Caenorhabditis elegans: one gene and its partners. The protein of the gene in region 1 purifies or fractionates together with the protein of each later gene. This does not show direct contact. Each region holds a gene or a part of one and is shown in the gene's direction. Other genes may lie near its edges.

The links.
Region 2: the proteins of mppb-1 (region 1) and idha-1 fractionate together in Caenorhabditis elegans (co-fractionation; one large-scale study listed by BioGRID). This does not show direct contact.
Region 3: the proteins of mppb-1 (region 1) and prp-4 fractionate together in Caenorhabditis elegans (co-fractionation; one large-scale study listed by BioGRID). This does not show direct contact.
Region 4: the proteins of mppb-1 (region 1) and idhg-2 fractionate together in Caenorhabditis elegans (co-fractionation; one large-scale study listed by BioGRID). This does not show direct contact.

The regions. Positions count from the first base shown.
Region 1 is NC_003282.8:9,073,061-9,077,097, forward strand, and holds mppb-1 (Mitochondrial-processing peptidase subunit beta), read left to right. Parts: upstream 1-1,612; 5' UTR 1,613-1,616; coding exon 1,617-1,649; intron 1,650-1,695; coding exon 1,696-1,818; intron 1,819-1,867; coding exon 1,868-1,954; intron 1,955-2,014; coding exon 2,015-2,144; intron 2,145-2,197; coding exon 2,198-2,583; intron 2,584-2,666; coding exon 2,667-2,771; intron 2,772-2,826; coding exon 2,827-2,946; intron 2,947-2,997; coding exon 2,998-3,094; intron 3,095-3,142; coding exon 3,143-3,438; 3' UTR 3,439-3,511; downstream 3,512-4,037. Other genes in the region: Nuclear hormone receptor family member nhr-11, read left to right, coding at 160-308, 359-460; mans-4 (alpha-1,2-Mannosidase), read right to left, coding at 3,534-3,672, 3,715-4,037. UniProt on the Caenorhabditis elegans protein: Catalytic subunit of the essential mitochondrial processing protease (MPP), which cleaves the mitochondrial sequence off newly imported precursors proteins. Preferentially, cleaves after an arginine at position P2.
Region 2 is NC_003279.8:8,606,034-8,610,624, reverse strand, and holds idha-1 (putative isocitrate dehydrogenase [NAD] subunit alpha, mitochondrial), read left to right. Parts: upstream 1-1,993; 5' UTR 1,994-2,001; coding exon 2,002-2,070; intron 2,071-2,113; coding exon 2,114-2,188; intron 2,189-2,234; coding exon 2,235-2,339; intron 2,340-2,386; coding exon 2,387-2,593; intron 2,594-2,639; coding exon 2,640-2,763; intron 2,764-2,807; coding exon 2,808-2,890; intron 2,891-2,953; coding exon 2,954-3,126; intron 3,127-3,407; coding exon 3,408-3,501; intron 3,502-3,548; coding exon 3,549-3,695; 3' UTR 3,696-4,076; downstream 4,077-4,591. Other genes in the region: lmd-1 (LysM domain-containing protein), read right to left, coding at 15-125, 176-268, 318-465, 515-694; F43G9.13 (Vesicle transport protein), read right to left, coding at 4,093-4,185, 4,248-4,327, 4,374-4,458.
Region 3 is NC_003279.8:8,732,871-8,737,616, reverse strand, and holds prp-4 (Pre-mRNA processing factor 4 (PRP4)-like domain-containing protein), read left to right. Parts: upstream 1-1,899; 5' UTR 1,900-1,909; coding exon 1,910-1,996; intron 1,997-2,061; coding exon 2,062-2,214; intron 2,215-2,280; coding exon 2,281-2,418; intron 2,419-2,460; coding exon 2,461-2,740; intron 2,741-2,786; coding exon 2,787-2,954; intron 2,955-3,003; coding exon 3,004-3,121; intron 3,122-3,417; coding exon 3,418-3,648; intron 3,649-3,726; coding exon 3,727-3,934; intron 3,935-3,981; coding exon 3,982-4,089; 3' UTR 4,090-4,204; downstream 4,205-4,746. Other genes in the region: gls-1 (Germline survival defective-1), read right to left, coding at 199-349, 399-545; dhfr-1 (Putative dihydrofolate reductase), read right to left, coding at 694-844, 887-1,039, 1,086-1,216, 1,261-1,395; C36B1.6 (putative tumor suppressor protein), read right to left, coding at 4,234-4,471.
Region 4 is NC_003279.8:6,972,566-6,977,623, forward strand, and holds idhg-2 (Isocitrate dehydrogenase [NAD] subunit, mitochondrial), read left to right. Parts: upstream 1-1,992; 5' UTR 1,993-2,196; coding exon 2,197-2,274; intron 2,275-2,366; coding exon 2,367-2,474; intron 2,475-3,071; coding exon 3,072-3,173; intron 3,174-3,319; coding exon 3,320-3,448; intron 3,449-3,527; coding exon 3,528-3,620; intron 3,621-3,672; coding exon 3,673-3,804; intron 3,805-3,863; coding exon 3,864-4,274; intron 4,275-4,324; coding exon 4,325-4,393; 3' UTR 4,394-4,506; downstream 4,507-5,058. Other genes in the region: C30F12.4 (LITAF domain-containing protein), read right to left, coding at 126-250, 557-867, 915-1,026, 1,077-1,104.

The DNA.
Region 1 (4,037 bases):
AGACAGATATTTTTGTGTCTACACGGAGGAGTGACTCTGCCAAAGTGATTAACACATTTAGATTTGTTTTAAATAAAAATTCAAATACGATATACATAAGTTCATAATCTTTTTAAAAAAATGTATTCAACTTTCAAATTAATCCTTCAATAATTTCAGCATACTTCAAGCTAACTGAAAATGGCCGTGAAAAATGTCGTAGACAAAGGAATATCATAATTGGCTTTCTATCAAAAATGTGTCATTCACCAGGTGGAGGCGGAGAGCATCGTGTTGGAGAACTTCTGATGAGTATGAATTATCTCAGGGTTTGTTTATTTTTGTATAACAGCTATCCAGCAAACAAAGGATATTACAGGAATCTGCTCAAAAACTCACAACTTCTTACGTGATGCTCACAGTTTTCAATGTTCTCAACTGTGATTCAATGCTTCATGAAATGCTTAATTTTCAATACTAGCTAAATATTTGTGTGAAAGTGTTTTATTATGTTCAAATTTTATTGTTTTATCATGATCGTCAATAAAACAAGGGCAAATACTGTTTTACTACTTGATCTCTTACTACGTGATCTCTTTTACTATGATTTGCATACATAGATCTTTTACGACGTTTTACTCTTTTGCTACAACCGTATTTTTTACTCCGTTATCCCATTTCGATCTTTTGCTACAGTTTGTATCTTTTGTTACGGTGGACATTTTTACTACAATGACAAGGATTGTATCCTTTACTAATGATTTTTTACTACATACGAATTAAAAATTAATTTTCATAGTACATATATTCTAGATATGAACAAATGTATGAATATTTTTTAAAAATGCATAGGTCACAGTTTTAGTTTGTTCTCAAGTAGTTCTAGTAAATTTCAGTTGTTTTCTTTTGATGGGATACTGAGTTGGAGTTCATGGAGAGATACTGTTGGGTTACTGTAGTTGTACTGTGGTAGTAAGAGTTTTCAGATTATATCGTTTTTTTTTTTAATTTCTAGAAATTGATTCATTATGAAATGATCAGAACTTATTATGAACATTTGGCTCTAGATATTAAAAAAACACGATATGCTCTTTTGTTCTCTTGTAATCATGAATAAGGATCGCTAGATACCCACTCCTGTTTGTGCGCGATTATAAATAATCCCCGAAAGGACATTTCCAAAATTACCGTTTCCCTGGACATCGTTTTCCAAAAATACAAGCTCTAAACGAGAGCCCCTTGATGTTTTTTATTTGGTTCGAAATTTTATATGTCTGCATAATCTGAAAAATTAATTGGAAATTCCGAAGTTATGAAATACCGCGTGCAATTGTTCAAAATCTTTTATTCAAACTTCCGCCTTTTTGCCCGCGGCGGCCGCGTTTGTGAAAGTTCTTCCATTCGCTACGTACACCTCGTGGACAAAGTTAATTTCACTTTTTTAGAAGCATTTTCTGCAATTCTGTTCAATTTTTGTTTAATTCGTTACTCTAATCGTTTTGTTGTATCAATGTCAGCAAAAAGATTTTTATTCCAGTATTACGTAGATTTGTTTGTGTTTAGCCGACAAATTGAGCTTCACTATTGCGTAACCATTGTTTCCTTGAAAATAGAGCATATAAATTTTTTTCAGATAAATGTACAGAAGACTAGCCTCCGGCTTATATCAGGTAATTTAAACAATTTTGTTTACAGTGAAAGTAATTTATTTTTCAGACTTCCCAAAGAAGAATCGCACAAGTTCAGCCGAAATCAGTATTTGTCCCAGAAACAATTGTAACGACACTTCCGAATGGGTTCAGAGTTGCAACAGAAAACACAGGTGGATCTACTGCTACTGTAATTATTTTTCCTAAATTATTTGTTTGTTCAAAGCTATTTTTATTAGATCGGAGTATTTATTGATGCCGGCAGTCGCTACGAGAATGAGAAAAACAATGGAACAGCTCATTTTCTAGAGCATATGGCGTTCAAAGTTAGTTTAATTTAATTTTTAGAAAATTTTGAATTTCATATAAAAATCCGAATTTTTCAGGGAACGCCTCGCCGGACTCGAATGGGATTGGAGCTTGAAGTTGAAAATATTGGAGCTCATCTAAATGCGTACACTTCTAGAGAAAGCACGACGTATTATGCTAAATGTTTTACAGAAAAGCTTGACCAATGTAAGAAATAAAATTATTAATGCAATTTTTAAAATATCTATTCCGAATTGCAGCCGTCGATATTCTTTCGGATATTCTTCTGAACAGCAGTCTTGCCACTAAAGATATCGAAGCAGAACGTGGTGTAATTATTCGAGAAATGGAAGAAGTTGCACAAAACTTTCAAGAAGTTGTATTTGATATTCTTCATGCTGATGTTTTCAAAGGAAATCCTCTTTCCTATACAATTCTTGGTCCAATTGAATTAATTCAAACAATCAATAAGAATGATCTTCAAGGATATATTAATACACATTATCGAAGTGGCAGAATGGTATTAGCAGCAGCCGGAGGTGTCAATCATGATGCGATTGTTAAAATGGCAGAAAAATATTTCGGAGAGCTCAAGCATGGAGATTCTTCAACTGAATTCGTCCCAGCCACTTACAGTCCCTGTGAAGTCAGTTTTTGTTTGAATAAATTCGCTATCAGCAAATATTAAATAGAATTAACAAAATATATTTTTAAATGTTTACATTTCAGGTTCGAGGTGACATTCCAGATCTTCCAATGTTGTACGGAGCGATGGTTGTCGAAGGAGTATCTTGGACCCATGAAGATAATCTTGCCCTTATGGTGGCTAATACGGTACTTTTTTAAAAAATATTTTTATAACTTAGAAGTTGATAGTTCATCATTCCAGCTAATGGGTGAATACGATCGTATGCGTGGATTCGGCGTGAATGCTCCAACTCGCTTGGCTGAAAAATTGTCACAAGACGCAGGAATTGAGGTTTTCCAATCATTTAACACGTGCTATAAAGTAATGAATTCCTGGGAAAAAAAACTCTTTTTACATATTTCTGTAATTCAGGAGACAGGATTAGTTGGAACTTATTTCGTAGCTGCTCCGGAATCCATCGACAATCTTATTGATTCAGTTCTTCAACAATGGGTTTGGCTTGCGAACAGTGAGTTTTTATTTAACATAGTCCTGAGTCAACATCTTTCATTTCCAGACATTGATGAAGCAGCGGTTGATCGTGCCAAGCGCTCCCTGCATACGAATCTACTCCTAATGCTCGATGGCTCAACTCCAGTCTGTGAAGATATTGGTCGACAACTCCTTTGCTACGGTCGTCGGATACCAACTCCAGAATTACATGCCCGAATCGAATCAATCACAGTCCAGCAGCTCCGAGATGTTTGCCGACGTGTATTCCTTGAAGGACAGGTCTCTGCAGCAGTTGTTGGAAAGACGCAGTATTGGCCAGTTAATGAAGAAATTCATGGAAGATTGATCAGAATGCAATAGATACATGTGTTATAGTTTATTTGTTAGACAAACGTTTTGTTTTTGGTAAAAATAAATTCTAAAAACCCGTCAAAAAGTGAAAAATACAGCATCAGTCAATTGTAAATTGGAAGTGGGTGGGCTTCAGTGTTGAGAACCCATCGATCGAGTGGAAGGATTTCTTGATCATCAGCCATTAGAAGGTAAAGGTATTTGAGGGTCTCAGCAAGGAAGAATGATTCCATTTTGTCACGTCTGAATTTGAATGATTAAAAATTAAACAAAATGCTGACAAACCTTTTGATCTTCTTTCTGAGCACATTGTCAATTGAGCTGTATCCACCAGTTTCCACTTTTGCATACTTTTCAATCGACTCAAAAGCTTTCCATCCCCACTCTTGATATTTCTTATCTTTAGTAACACGATACAAATAGAACCACGCTTCAATTGCTTCTGGACGGAGAAGTGAATGAGCATCAAGATTCTTCACATAAGTATCCGCTTGTGTCATATCAGAACTATCCTCCATATTGAAATGTATTATTTCTGGTCCAAGTCCTGTTGGATTTTCATACATTTTATGACAAACATTTCCAATATTTTTAGCCATTTCCAAATG
Region 2 (4,591 bases), on another chromosome or scaffold:
AAGAAAAAACCTACCTAAAACAACCATCCAAACAGAAATAGATGACGAAGTTGGGGCTCGAGCGGTTACAAAATGAAAACCAGTGACACCGTGACTTTCTTCTGGAAGAGCTTCTCGAACTTGAGCTGAAATTTTTCTATTTGTTTTTTAATAATTTTTATTAACTTTTATTCACCTATGTTAGTATCAGTTTTATGGAAAATATCCTCGACACTGGGATCTCGTGAGCCTCGATCTTCTCGCAGAAGTGCAGTTCTGTCATCAATATCTGTAAATCTTTAGAAATTAAAGCTTTATCTCAGCAAAAAAAAACTAACCAATAAGAATTTCGTCTTCTTCGTCTTGGCTTAAAGCCGATTGTACGCCTAACGCCATTCTCATTCGGCTAACTGGAATTTTCACTTTTGAAAGTGCCATAAAATCTTGCTCGGATACCATATTATTCACTCGTTTTATTTCGGCTACCTGAAAAATATTGCAAATAAAATATTTTATTGAAACCGACAGAACTCACATTTACTTGATATTTTATTGCCAATTTATTGAGTGTATCGCCGTTTTTTACTTTTCTTTCAATAAAAACTACATCCTTGTATGTGGGCATATCGTTTTGGAAACCTTCACTCGATGAAGTCCTTGCTGCACGACTTCTCATTGCAAATTGCTCCACTGAGCTGCCTTCTTTCATTGCCATTTTACTGAAAATTAAATAAATAAAAATAAAATGTATTTTTCGAAGTTGTCAAAATCCACGAGACACTTAAAAACATCGTGTATAAATCAGAGACGCAGACACAAGTACAGTAATTTTGAAGGCGCCTATCTCGAAACCATAAAATGTGTCCTAACGCGCGTGTGGATTTACGGGCGGAACAGAATCAGCCTTCGAAACGTTAAACTTGTTCAATCCTGTTTTTTTTTATTTTTCTGTATTATTGTAATGATTTTGCCTTTTTTCAGCAAGTAAATTGATAAAACAACACCTTTTACTAAATTTTCTTACATTTGACACATAAACAGCTTTAAAACGCTTAACAACGAAACAATTTCACTAAATAAAAATTTTAACGTTTCAGAGAATGTAAAACTATCGGTTTAATCTATTTTCAGAGTTTCAGCGAACTTAATAATAATCAAGTTTTTTTGCGAAAAAATATATCCAAAATTTGACAAATTATGTCACATTTTCAGATGAATTCCTCATTAAAAATTAAAAGAAAATAGGAAAACGTACCCATGGGTGCACCTTTAACGTCAACGTTTAAACAAGATTAAATAAATACTTTAAAAAAGTGTCCTAGAAGAATGTTATAGTTTTTCACTAATTTATTTTTTAAAACTTGATTAAAACGGAAGAAGCTTCGAAAATCTTCTTTATAATGCATTAATGTCTTATCTCTCAAATTACGCATTAATTGTACGATATCAAGTGAAAGAGAAAGTCAGATGATAGTACATTTAGTACAGTTTTTCACCAAAAATTATGTGTTCCATTATTTAGTTTACATACGTGGTATAATTTTAAATAATCAATAAAAACTGAAATCCACGTCGCAGGATGCCGTAGCTACAGGTGCAAAGAGATTATATCTGGCTAGCTGTTTCCACGCAGCGGGACGCTGCGACAAACGCACGCAAGGATCCGGAAGAAAAAGAGAAACGAAACAGAAAAAAACAATATGCAATGTGTCTATTGTATACCCGTCTCGCACCCTCCATTTGCTTTTCTATTTTTCAACTGGCTTTTGCTGGCCGCCCTTTCCAATGATCGATAAATTGCGCTCTACCGAACACCTCGGCTGCCCTGCTACCGCCCTTTTCCTTGGCTCTTTAATTTAAGGCTTAACATATTTTATTAATGATTCCTGATGTTAAATTTTGATTTTCCAAAATATGATCGTCTAGATAGTCTCAAAAAATGTGCATCGTAAATACTTTTTCATTTTCTTTCTCGCTCAATTTTTCCTTCCATCTCAAATATTTTTGTTTCCAGGGTTCAGAATGCTTGGCAAGTGCATCAAAAAGGCGTCGTCTACCGTCGGACAATCCATCAGATACAGCTCCGGAGACGTAAGAAACCTCGAAACTTTATAAAAAAGCCAGTTTTGTTCAGGTTCGCCGTGTCACTTTAATTCCAGGAGACGGAATTGGGCCGGAAATTTCAGCTTCTGTACAGAAGATTTTTGAGGTGAATTTTCAATTATTTCGTGTGTCTTACATCATGTTATTTCTAGGCCGCCGATGCCCCGATTGCTTGGGACCCAGTTGATGTGACTCCAGTTAAGGGACGCGATGGAGTCTTCCGTATTCCAAGTCGTTGCATCGAGCTTATGCACGCGGTTAGTTTGAAAATTGTACATTTATTTCTGATTGTTACGTTTTTCAGAACAAAGTTGGACTTAAAGGACCACTCGAGACCCCAATTGGAAAAGGACACAGATCTTTGAATTTGGCTGTGAGAAAAGAGTTTAGCCTTTACGCCAACGTTCGTCCATGCCGTTCCCTTGAAGGACACAAGACATTGTACGACAATGTCGATGTTGTCACAATTCGTGAGAACACAGAGGGAGAGTACTCTGGAATTGAGCACGAGGTATATTAAATTAAATAATAAATGTATCACCTAATAATTGTTTCAGATTGTCCCGGGAGTTGTTCAATCTATCAAGCTTATTACTGAAACTGCTTCTCGCAATGTCGCCAGCTTCGCCTTCGAGTATGCTCGTCAAAATGGGCGCAAAGTTGTGACTGCTGTCCACAAAGGTAATATAAATTGAAAAAGAAAATTAAAACAATTATTTTTACAGCCAACATTATGAGACAATCCGACGGTTTGTTTTTGTCCATCTGCCGCGAGCAAGCTGCCCTCTACCCAGATATCAAGTTCAAGGTATGAATAATAGAATTTAAAGAAAAACCACTTCCTGTTAAAATTTATAATCTATAATTTTAGGAAGCCTACCTCGACACAGTTTGCTTGAACATGGTCCAGGATCCATCACAATACGATGTTCTTGTCATGCCAAACTTGTATGGAGACATTCTTTCCGATTTGTGCGCTGGTCTTGTTGGAGGACTCGGAGTCACCCCATCTGGAAATATTGGAAAAGGAGCCGCCGTATTTGAGTATGTTTTTTGTTAAAAAATGCTTTGACAAATGAAATGAACTCAGTTTAGAATTTTTGTTAATTTCTGAAATTTCAGATAAACACATAGAAGTGAAATCGAAAGCAAAAAATACGAAATTATAAAAGTAGGAAATACTAAAAAAGTTGAATTTGATGAAATCTTGCATTTTTTTAATCTTCTCAATAAAATTTAAATCTAATTTTTTTTAACCTGAAAACTTTATTTTATAGCGAAATACAATTTTTTATTCAAACAAAACTTACCAAATTTCTTTACAGATCCGTTCACGGAACCGCCCCAGATATTGCTGGACAAGACAAAGCAAACCCAACTGCTCTTCTTCTATCTGCCGTCATGATGCTCCGTTACATGGTTTTTATATCGTAGTCGGTCTAAAAATTTTACAAGCTCATTTTCAGAACCTTCCACAACACGCTGCTCGTATCGAAAAGGCTGTATTTGATGCAATTGCTGATGGACGTGCCAAAACTGGAGATCTCGGAGGTACTGGAACTTGCTCTTCATTCACCGCTGATGTTTGTGCCCGTGTTAAAGACCTCGAATAAATGCTCAATGCTACTTCCCCTTCTATTTTCTTTTTCTTATTGTAAACAGGCTGTTAGACACTAAAACACTTTGATGATTAGTAATGATTTAATGACACCTTTTTTCGGTTTTCAATTTTGTATAGATTACCCACCAGTCCATCCCGCGTCCTTAATCGCTTTACTCCTATCCCATTGGCATGAACCACAAAATCGTTCGATAAGTCTTCTCTGATTCACTCGCATAACTATAAGCACCCCGAGACTTTTGTTTTTTCTTCTTCTACACCATCTTTCGATTCCCATTATTTCTGTTCATTTCTGGAAATTTTTATATGGTTTTTTCTTTTCGAGATTTTATAGACAAAGAAACTAAAAAAATTTATTAAAGCAATCGTTTCTACATAATCACAATAAGTTACAGCGTCGCGTGGATTCGGGTTACAGAAGTCACGAAAATCAGAAGAGTTTGAATGATACCCATTATTGCACAATACCAAGTGCTCACAGCCTGAAAAATGTTTTTTCCCTCAACTTTTTAACTTCTTGAAAAGTAAATTTTTTTTAACGTACATTTTTCGAAGCGTACATTGCCAGTGCGAGAACCATTGACGTAGGAGCACCAAAAACGAAAGGAATGATGAACATCATTACTGAAAAGTTGAAATTATGAAAAAAAAAAGATTTTCAGAATCTTACTGATAAATGGAATTGGAATAAAGCAAACGTATGGATGTTTTCGAAGAGTGAAAAGGGAAAGAATTGTGGCTCCGAGACTAATTACCTGGAACAATTGAAACATAAAAAATAGTTTCTGAATAAAATATGTCATATTACCCGTAGCAAATTATGCCAAAGAATACAGACCCCAGTTTCGACACGACTAATATACTTGTTGAGTGCATGGTGTGCGTTCA
Region 3 (4,746 bases), on another chromosome or scaffold:
TCTTTTCTTCGGGGTCATTTTTTAAGCACAGATTGTGAAGACCAAGGTCTCCAAAATCTCGATTTAAATGAACCATTGGAAATTAAGACACAAAATTTTGAATTAATTTGCAATTGCTGCAAGAAAATTCTAAAACCTATTTAGGAACAGCCGTCCTTGTTATTTCAAAACAGATTTGTGAGAAACGTGTATACGTACTATTGCTGGAAGTGTTATCGTTGGTGACGCTATGACTGGAATTGGAATTTTGTCCAATTTGTGATGAATTCTGAGTTGTTGCAGCGGCAGTTGCTGTTGCGTTATTCCCGTTCATCGTTGACCCGTCTGTACTTTTCTTTTGCTGATGGTTCTGAAACTAGGGAAAAATATGTCGAATTTCACTATCTTTATCAACACACCTTTTTATTGGCCATACTTTTCATCAAAATACCAGTTAACCGAGACTTCTTACGCTTTTCTTGAAGAGTTAAAGCTGTGACGTCTGAACGGATAAATTTTAAAAAAATAAGGAAGGAATGAAATAAATAAGATATCAAACATCGCATACTTACGATGAATTACAAAAAGTTAATAGTAATAAGAATCATGTACAGATTTTATATTTACACGTGAAAATTGTGGGCTGCCCGAGTAAACAACAGGTGAATGAATACATATAAATTAAAAAAATAAACAGCAATTTCAAAAAAAAATTCAGTGGTTCTCGACAACCTTCCATTTGCAAAATTCGAACTTTAATCCATTTTCTTCGAAAATTTCTGAATTTTCCGATGACACCTCGGCATTTTGAACTTTCTCCATTTTACTGAAATCGAGTGACTTGAGATGAACATCGGCTTCGAAGCTGAAATTACGACAGAGTAAAAAAACTGTGCAAGCACCCTACTTTTTGAAAATACGTGTCAAGTGAATTTCATCAACCAAGTTTTCTCGCAACGCAAGATCATAGATTTCAGCTCCACCGATATTCCAGATTGTTTCGATCGAATCCACAAATGGTGGCTCCGAAAGTAGTTTCATAGCCGCTTCGAGCGAGTTTCTGAATGTAACAACAACAGGTTAAATATTATTTCATGACAGCTTACACAACAATGTAGTCATCGGACTTTTGCGCAGGAAGTTGTCGGCTCAAAACAATGTTTAGCCGTCCTGCCAACGGGCGGCGAGTTACTGGAATGCTTTCCCAGCATTTTCGTCCCATGAGAACTGCATTTCTCTACAAAAGTTATGTTACAAGTTTAGTTAGAAATCTCGAACAACCTTCGACTGATCAGAAACATTTTTGGTAACAGACGCGAAATACTGCATGTCTTTCTTGATTCGCCATGGCAACACGCCATTTTTGCCAATTCCTCCTTCGGCATCCATAGCCACTATTAAGTTCATTTTTCTCATTTTTAATGCCTAGAAATAGAAAATAACTCGATTGAGATACCAGAGAAAATTTTAAAAACGGGTAATGAGAACTTTGCACAGCAAAACGAAGCACATTTGAAATACGCTTCCATTCGACTTCGTATCGACTGAAATCTTCAAACAATACAGATTTCGAAGATAAAGATAATGAATCGTGGGAAAATCAATAAAAATAGATAATCAAAAAAAAATGAGGGTGAAAATGAATCGAGAAGAAGTGAGAGAACCTCAGATTTCTTCAAATTATCATTAGAGCGCGATTACTGGTTCCCACTTTCGAAGAATTTTCACCGCTTTTTTTGAACTTTTATGCCATTTTCTTTCCTTTGTTCACTTTAAAATGTTTTAAACTTCACAACTAAATATAATAAATTATAATAAAACTACAAGCCCATTCCTATGTCTCACATCTTCGTTCTGAATGTCCTAATATATAACTTCATATTCTTTACAGTGGTTTTTAAAGTAATTAAATTTTTTAAGAGCACACAAAATGGCTGAAAATGGCAATTTTGCTGTTCCAGCACCGCCAAGACAGTTTGGATCACTGGCGAATGCAGAAAGCGTGAATGCAATCTTGGTATGTTTTTTTTCATGAATTCTTTGACTATGTTATTTTTTCTGAATTTTAATTTAAAATTTCAGAATGCACAACAGCAAAACCATGGACCCACAGTGTCTTTGGAACGAATGGAAGTATCAAATCAAGCAGATTCACGCCACGATGCTGAAATGTTTGCAGAATTTGATAGAAGACGGAGAGCAAGAACTCTCACATTGCCAACAGATGATGTTCAGGTACAGTTTTGATACATATGAATAAAATTTTTTTAATAACTACCCACTTGAAGATATATTTTAAAGGTAAAACTGAAACTTCGTGCTCTAAACCAACCAATTTGTTTGTTCGGAGAAGATGCATTGGATAGAAGAGAAAGACTTAGAGCTCTACTTTCAACAATGTCTGAAGATGAAATTGCAGCCGTTTTGCATACTGATGAAGTAAGTTTTTCAATGTTTGAAAAATTATTTAAAAATTTGAAGGTGAATGCTGATAAAGCAGACGAAGAAACCGTTACTTGGTATCATCGTGGTCCGATTGAACTTCGGATGGCACGCGTTTCAATCGCTGATTTTTCTCTAAGAAAAGCTAAATTAAGACTTGACAAAGCTCGAGAAGAAGCTGCTCGCCCTGCTCACGAAAAAGCTTTGGCTCGTCAAGAAGCTCACAAATGGGTTCAACAAATCAATCTTCATGCTTCTCAAGTTGCAGACACACGCCCTGTGGCTTTTTGTGAATTTTCAGCAGATTCTGAACATATTGGTTTGTTTTTTCTAAGTAGAACTTTCCAACTAATCAAAAACTTCAGTTACCGCTGGCTGGTCCGGATCAGTGGCAGTTTGGAAGCGAGAACAATGTGCTCAAGAAATTAAATTTATTGGACATTCATCTCAAGCAGGGTGTGCACGTTTTCATCCCGGTGCATTTACTCAGAATGATTATTCTTCTTTGAATGTGGTTTCGTGTTCGTATGATGGTAAATATAACTGATTTTTGCTCAATTTTCTCAAAATTCGTGATTTCAGGAACCGTTCTTCTATGGTCGCTAAGCCAGGAATCACCAATCGGAGAACTAGAACAACATCCACAAAGAGTATCTAAAGTTGCGTTCCATCCAAATGGTCATCATCTCGCTACTGCATGGTAAGTTTTTTAATGGTAATAACACGACGATTTTAGAGCCGAAAATACGGTAATCGGTCTCGACTCGACAATTTGTCGTTAAATAAAAGCGTGTTCGCTTTTTTAAAGAGTACTGTAGCTTCAAACTTTCATTGTTGCCGAATTCGGCGCTGAGTTTTCAGCGCTTTTTCGTCTAAAAAATTAGATTATCGTATTGAAATAAACAGGTTTTACAGTTGCCAAAAATATTCGATTATTTCTGATGCAGTATTCAGAAAACCTTTGAATTTCAGTCTCTACAAGATAATCATTTTCAGCTTCGATTCCACGTGGAGAATGTACGACTTGACAACGAAAAAAGAGTTACTTTATCAAGAAGGACACTCAAAATCAGTAGCTGATGTGGCATTCCATCCAGATGGATCAGTCGCTCTAACTGGCGGACACGATTGTTATGGAAGAGTTTGGGATATGCGAACTGGAAGATGTATTATGTTCCTTGATGGTCACACAAAAGAAATTCACAGTGTTGAATGGATGCCAAATGGGTTAGTTCACTGGGACATTATAACTTTTTGTTTTAAAACCATTTACTTGAAATATTGATGTTATCAACGTATTTTCAGTTATGAAATGATTACTGGAAGCTCGGACAATTCAATGAAAGTTTGGGATCTTCGGATGAGACGAAATACATACACTATGCCAGCTCATACATCAGTTGTTACCCGGGTGCGTGCTGATGCTGCTGGCCAATATCTTGTTTCTGCCAGCTTCGATTGTACTCTTAAAATGTGGTCGACCACTGGATGGCAACCACTAAGACAACTTCAGGTATATCAATTGAGCTTAACTTTTTGAGTTAAAAAAAATGTTTTCAGGGTCACGATACTAGAATCCTGTGCGTAGACATCAGTCCAGATGGACAATGGATGTGCTCATCGGCATTTGATCGTACATTTAAATTATGGGCTCAATCTGATTATTGATTTGTTTTAGTAAATGTTCTACTTCAATTGTTGGTTTCATATTATATTCCTTTTTTCAAGTTGTTCTCTTCTCCCGAAAATGATCTGTGAATTAGAATAAAACTTATTTATTTTTATTGGTGAGGTGAAAAATTATCAAATGACTCATTCTTTAGTATTCCGACCGGTGTACTGGGCCCCCATTTGAACTTCTTCATTTGTGGGAACAGAACGATATGCTCCAGTAAATATACAACAGCAACAACATATAAAAATGCATGTTGTAATTGAATAAAAGATGATGAAGAATGCACAGAAAATAAATGATGTCCAATATAATAATTGATCACATTCATTATTACGGGAAAATGTTGAAATCACCAGTACACATCCAAGTATGGTTCTGGAAAATTATCAAGTTGAAGATGGAAAATAAGCACTTTTGTTAAATTTCTGCATAATTAGTGTTTATTTTAATATTACTAATTTTCCCATGATATGTTTCTGTTTGTAATACAATTTCAAAGAGAACTAAATATGAAAAAATAGGAGTTTGAAGCTACAGTACTCCTGAAGGCGAATGCACCCTTGCCTATAAAAAAATCGATCGTGTCGAGACCGGCATGGATCTGAATGTTTTATAGACAAATATGCGAAATTTGAGACTTGTGCCGATTA
Region 4 (5,058 bases), on another chromosome or scaffold:
TTTTTAAAGTGTGATAGTTTCGACCTTCGAAGTTATCATGTAAATCAGCTATTTATAATATTTTCGTTTCTGACTATCAAAATCATCTCGTTGCACTTTAAAAATAATCAGCAAAAATGACTAACCTTTCTCAATCGATCTTGTTTTCGCATGATGATTCCTTTTCGACATTTCGGACAGACGAGTGCACCCACACCTCCTCCGGGAGATCCACCAATTTGTGGAGACTGGTTAACGCACAGAGTTATAGCTGAAATTTTAAGATAAATAAAAGAAGAAGTGGAAATTTCTACTTTTTGATGATTAAAAAAAGGTGAATGGCAACTTGAAATTATGAATAAAAATAAATTTGTCTAGACTAGGTCTCACAAATTGGACATCCGGTTTTTTGAGTTCTAATTTTGTGTTCGAGCGCTTTTTTTCTCGATGTCTGAGACTGGATTTCAATAAAAAACAAGGAGTATCGAGTATTTTATAAAAATGAAGTTTCGCCGAAACATATATATATATCTTGTATAATTTTTTTATAATTTTTAATATTACTTATCGAATATACCTGGCGACGCCTGCTGTTGCGGTGGGGCTTGGACAGGCGGTTGAGGTGAGACAAGCTGCACTGGATTGGCCATTTGAGCCATCTGAGTCATCATCATCTGTGGTCCTGCAGTTGTCATGATCGGTTGCTGCATAACAATTTGCTGAGGCATCATTTGAGCCATTTGGGGCATCATGTACTGCTGTTGAACCATTGGCATTGAAACTGGAACCATTTGAGGCTGTGGTTGAATTGGTGGAGCAGATGGAACTGATGGATAGACTTGAGATGAATAATATGGTGGCGGTTGTTGTTGAGAATATTGAGAAATCCTGTAAATTGTGAATTTATTCCAATGAATTTTCTTTCTTCAACTCACTCTGGTCTGATATGTTGCCGCATAACCTCCACTCTTCGTGGAGAAATGTACTTGACAGTTTCGGGCCCCAAAAATTGAACTCTTCCATCAGGCGTGAGTGGGGGCTCTTCATCTGAAAATTAGGTGTTTAAAATTTTTAGATTATTTTATAAAATAACTTACAGACGTAATCAGTCGGATTAATTGTCATCTTGAGCAACGATTTTCCGATTGAAAACAGATGAGAAAATAAAAAAAAATAATTCCTCGAATCTCAGTCTGTGAGAAGTGCGTCGATGTGTTTGCGTACTTTGATTGCATACCGTAGTTCACTATAAAAATTGCAAACGAACATTTCCAATAATATTATTTTTATTTAAAAAAAAGTTTAAAAGTGTCAAGCAATCTTAAAACTTGAGAAGAACTGTATAAGTTTTTTAAAATAAAATCGGAAGTATAGAAATATCGTGATTTCGCGAAGTTTTGACATGTCAGTTTAAAGGCACTGCCAATGTTTCGAGTGGGTCTCGCCACGATCTCAGTAATTGTTGTCATTACAGGTGCCAAGTTATACAGGAGAATTCATTTCATGTAGAAAATTAAGTCTATGAAGTTTCAAATTTTGAAGTGGCCAGAGAAAACTAGGATTAATCCCGAAAAATTTAGCACCTAGCGAAACATTTCCCGCACCGGAGTATGATTTAAAACTCTTCGTTTCCAAATAAAGAAATTTCTATCTTCTCACACACTGAAGTCATATCGTTTTTTTTCCACTAGTGACAAAACTTTCAATTCGTCTAATATTTTTTATTACAACTCCCCATTTATGTCTCATCAATTTTCAGTCAAAACTCTGAAATTTTGACCACATTCAACACGTGTCAGGGTGTTCTTGCACCTGAATTGAGCCGCACTTCCCTATCTTTTTCAATTTTCTCTGCCAAACTTTTCTTTTCTTTCTTGATAAGCCGAACAAATGTGTGTGTGCCTGCCAAGTTGTTTACCACGTTAGAGATAAGAGAGATGTAGAGACGCAGATGTTCATGAAAACGCCCGTCTTTTTGTTCCCGGGACCCTGAGCATTGGAGAATCCCATGCTACATTTAATCGATACCTTTTTTCTCAAATTAAATATTCTATAGCTACATACATATTGTCTCAAATTTTGAAATACTAGACAGTCTCTAGCAAAAAAATTTACGAATTTGAGATATTTTAAGTTCTTCTTAACTTCCTAATCGAATTCCTAACTGACAATGAATCAATAACGAAGCTTTTATAACTAAAGAACAAAAATTTAAGAATGTTCTCAAAACTTCCGATTCAAGCGGTTCGTGGAGCTGCCTCTGCAATCCGTACCCATCAAATTCCAGGTCACAGAGTAAGAGTTATCTTATCAGAAAATTAAAATTATAAAATAAAATGTAGCAAAATGCAATTCTTCCAAAAACCATAATATAATCACTTTTTCAGCTCCCACTAGCAAAATATGGTGGTCGACATACAGTTTGTGCCCTTCCTGGAGATGGAATTGGCCCCGAGATGATTGCCCATATCAGAAATATTTTCTCGTTTTGTCATGTAGGTTCCCATGCTTGAAAATATAAAGTCTACTATGCACATTTGGGTACTTGTGTATTATACCCCCGCCATTGTAAAAATTAATCAAATTTCCATTAATTTATTTGTTTAAATTAAACGTGATACCCATTTTCCTTATTAGGCTTCGGAGTGCTGTTTTCCTAAGCCTAAAATTCCACACATTTTTATTTTATAAGGTAAAAAATTAATGTTTAATGGCGGGGGTATCATACACAAGTACCCACATTTGAATTTAAGCTTGCTTCTTCAAGAATGTGAAAGTTCTAAAAACCATATTCAAGTTATCATTTTAAAGTCACGTTAAACTGGATTTACAATATACCGTAACCGTGTTTGGGTTTAAAACACACAATATTTAATTTCAATATTCTTCACTGCTCATAAGCTTTTTTAGTATCGTTTTTCTTCTATTAGTTTTGGATTTTATTGCTCAACTTTGATTGCTCGTATCTCGACTCTTTTTGATTTTTTTAAAAAGTTGGTAGAATACAAGTTAATCGTAATCCTTTTTCACATGTTGAGAACTACCAAAATGGATAAGGTGAAGCAAAAAAAAGAGACAGATGTTAATTTTAGGCTCCAGTCAACTTTGAAGAAGTGCAAGTCTCATCGTCGCTTTTGGATGGAGACATGGATGCTGCTATGCTGGCAATTGAAAGAAATGGTGTTGCTATAAAGGTAATGAATTAAATAAAATTAGTGAAATACCTGCTTGTTCAATTGTAAAAAAAAGTACCTCTGTTTTTTTGAATTGAATTAAAAATTTGCATTAGTTTAATGTCAAAATATAAATATTACAACTAATGTATATAAAATAATTTCAGGGAAACATTGAAACAAAACACGACGATCCACAATTCAACTCTCGTAACGTTGAACTCAGAACTAAATTGGATCTCTATGCCAATATTCTTCACTGTGTCACAATTCCAACAGTACCTACCAGACATTCTGTAAGTAAACTTACCAATTTGTTTCAGTTGGAGAGTTTAAAAAAATTGTATTCAATTGTTAAAACTTCTTATTTTTAAGGGAATTGATATTGTTCTTATACGTGAAAATACGGAAGGAGAATACTCTGGATTAGAACATGAAGCAGTTCCAGGAATCGTAGAAAGCATTAAAGTGAGTTCAAATTCCTACTTTCCTGTATTTTCAGTTAAATAAATACTTTGAGATCGTCACCCGTGAGAAAATTGAGAGAATCTCAAGAATGGCATTTGAATATGCAAAAGCAAATGGAAGAAAGAAGGTTACAGCTGTTCATAAAGCTAATATTCAGAAACTTGGAGATGGACTTTTCCTAAAGGTGTGTTTTTAACGTTTCAATTTAAGGCCTAAAATAATGAATATTAAATGATATTTCAGGTTGTTCGGGACATGTCAGAAGATTATAAGGATATCAAATTTGAAGCAATGATTGTGGATAATGCCTCAATGCAACTTGTCTCTAAACCTCAACAGTTCGATGTAATGGTTATGCCAAATCTTTATGGAAATATCATTTCGAACATTGCATGTGGCCTTGTCGGTGGACCTGGATTAGTGTCTGGAATGAATCTTGGAGATAAATATGCTGTTTTTGAAACAGGAACTCGTAATACTGGAACTTCTCTTGCTGGAAAAGATATTGCCAATCCAACTGCGTTCATTCGAGCATCTGTTGATATGTTGAGATATTTGGGATGCCATTATCACGCTAATATTATTTCCGATGCATTGTGGAAGGCTCTTGTTGAACAAAGAATTCACACTGCTGATATTGGAGGAAATAATTCGGTAAGTAAAATTAAATAGTTTCCAAAAAAAAACCTAAACCATTGTTACAGGCCAGTGATGTTATCAACGCAACTCTTCAGAACATCAAAGTTTTGATGGACGAGAACCCAAAACATTGATGAAATTTCTCGTGCTTTGATATAATTTTAATTTTCTGGATTTTAATATTTCGTGTCAGGTTTTTATGTTTTTCAACTATACTTTTGTAAATAAATAAAAATATTGAAATTGATTTGTGGGTTTATAAAACTTAATGAAAAACGCAATTCTGAAAAACACGAATTTTCAATTTTAGAATATCCCCTGTTCATATTTCATCCAAAAATTAGAGCCCCATGACCAATCAGACAGGGCAAAGGAAATTCAAACAGAGAAATGAACCAAAATTTGAAACGTAGATTAAATTTTGAAAATTTTTGTATCTGATCTTTATTCTCCTTGGACAGTACACCACATCATTTCTCATTGTAACAATTGTTTTCTGAAGCTTATGAACCCAGAGAAAGAGCCTGTAGTGTTGACCATTCAGATTAACGATTCAACGACAAATGAAATACAAATAGAACAGAAAAGAAGGGACGGAGACGAATCGGTTCAACATCAATAGTCAGTCAATGTTTTCCTCTGTTAAAGCTCTCCATTTCAAAAGTTTATAGAAAATAATTTTTACAATTCTGAAGCTATTTCAAAAAATTTTTTGCGAATACAAATTAAGGCTCAAACTAATTATTATTAGTTGAATAAAAAGCAAATCTATTCGTGTATTCTCAGGAAGTTTGACTCA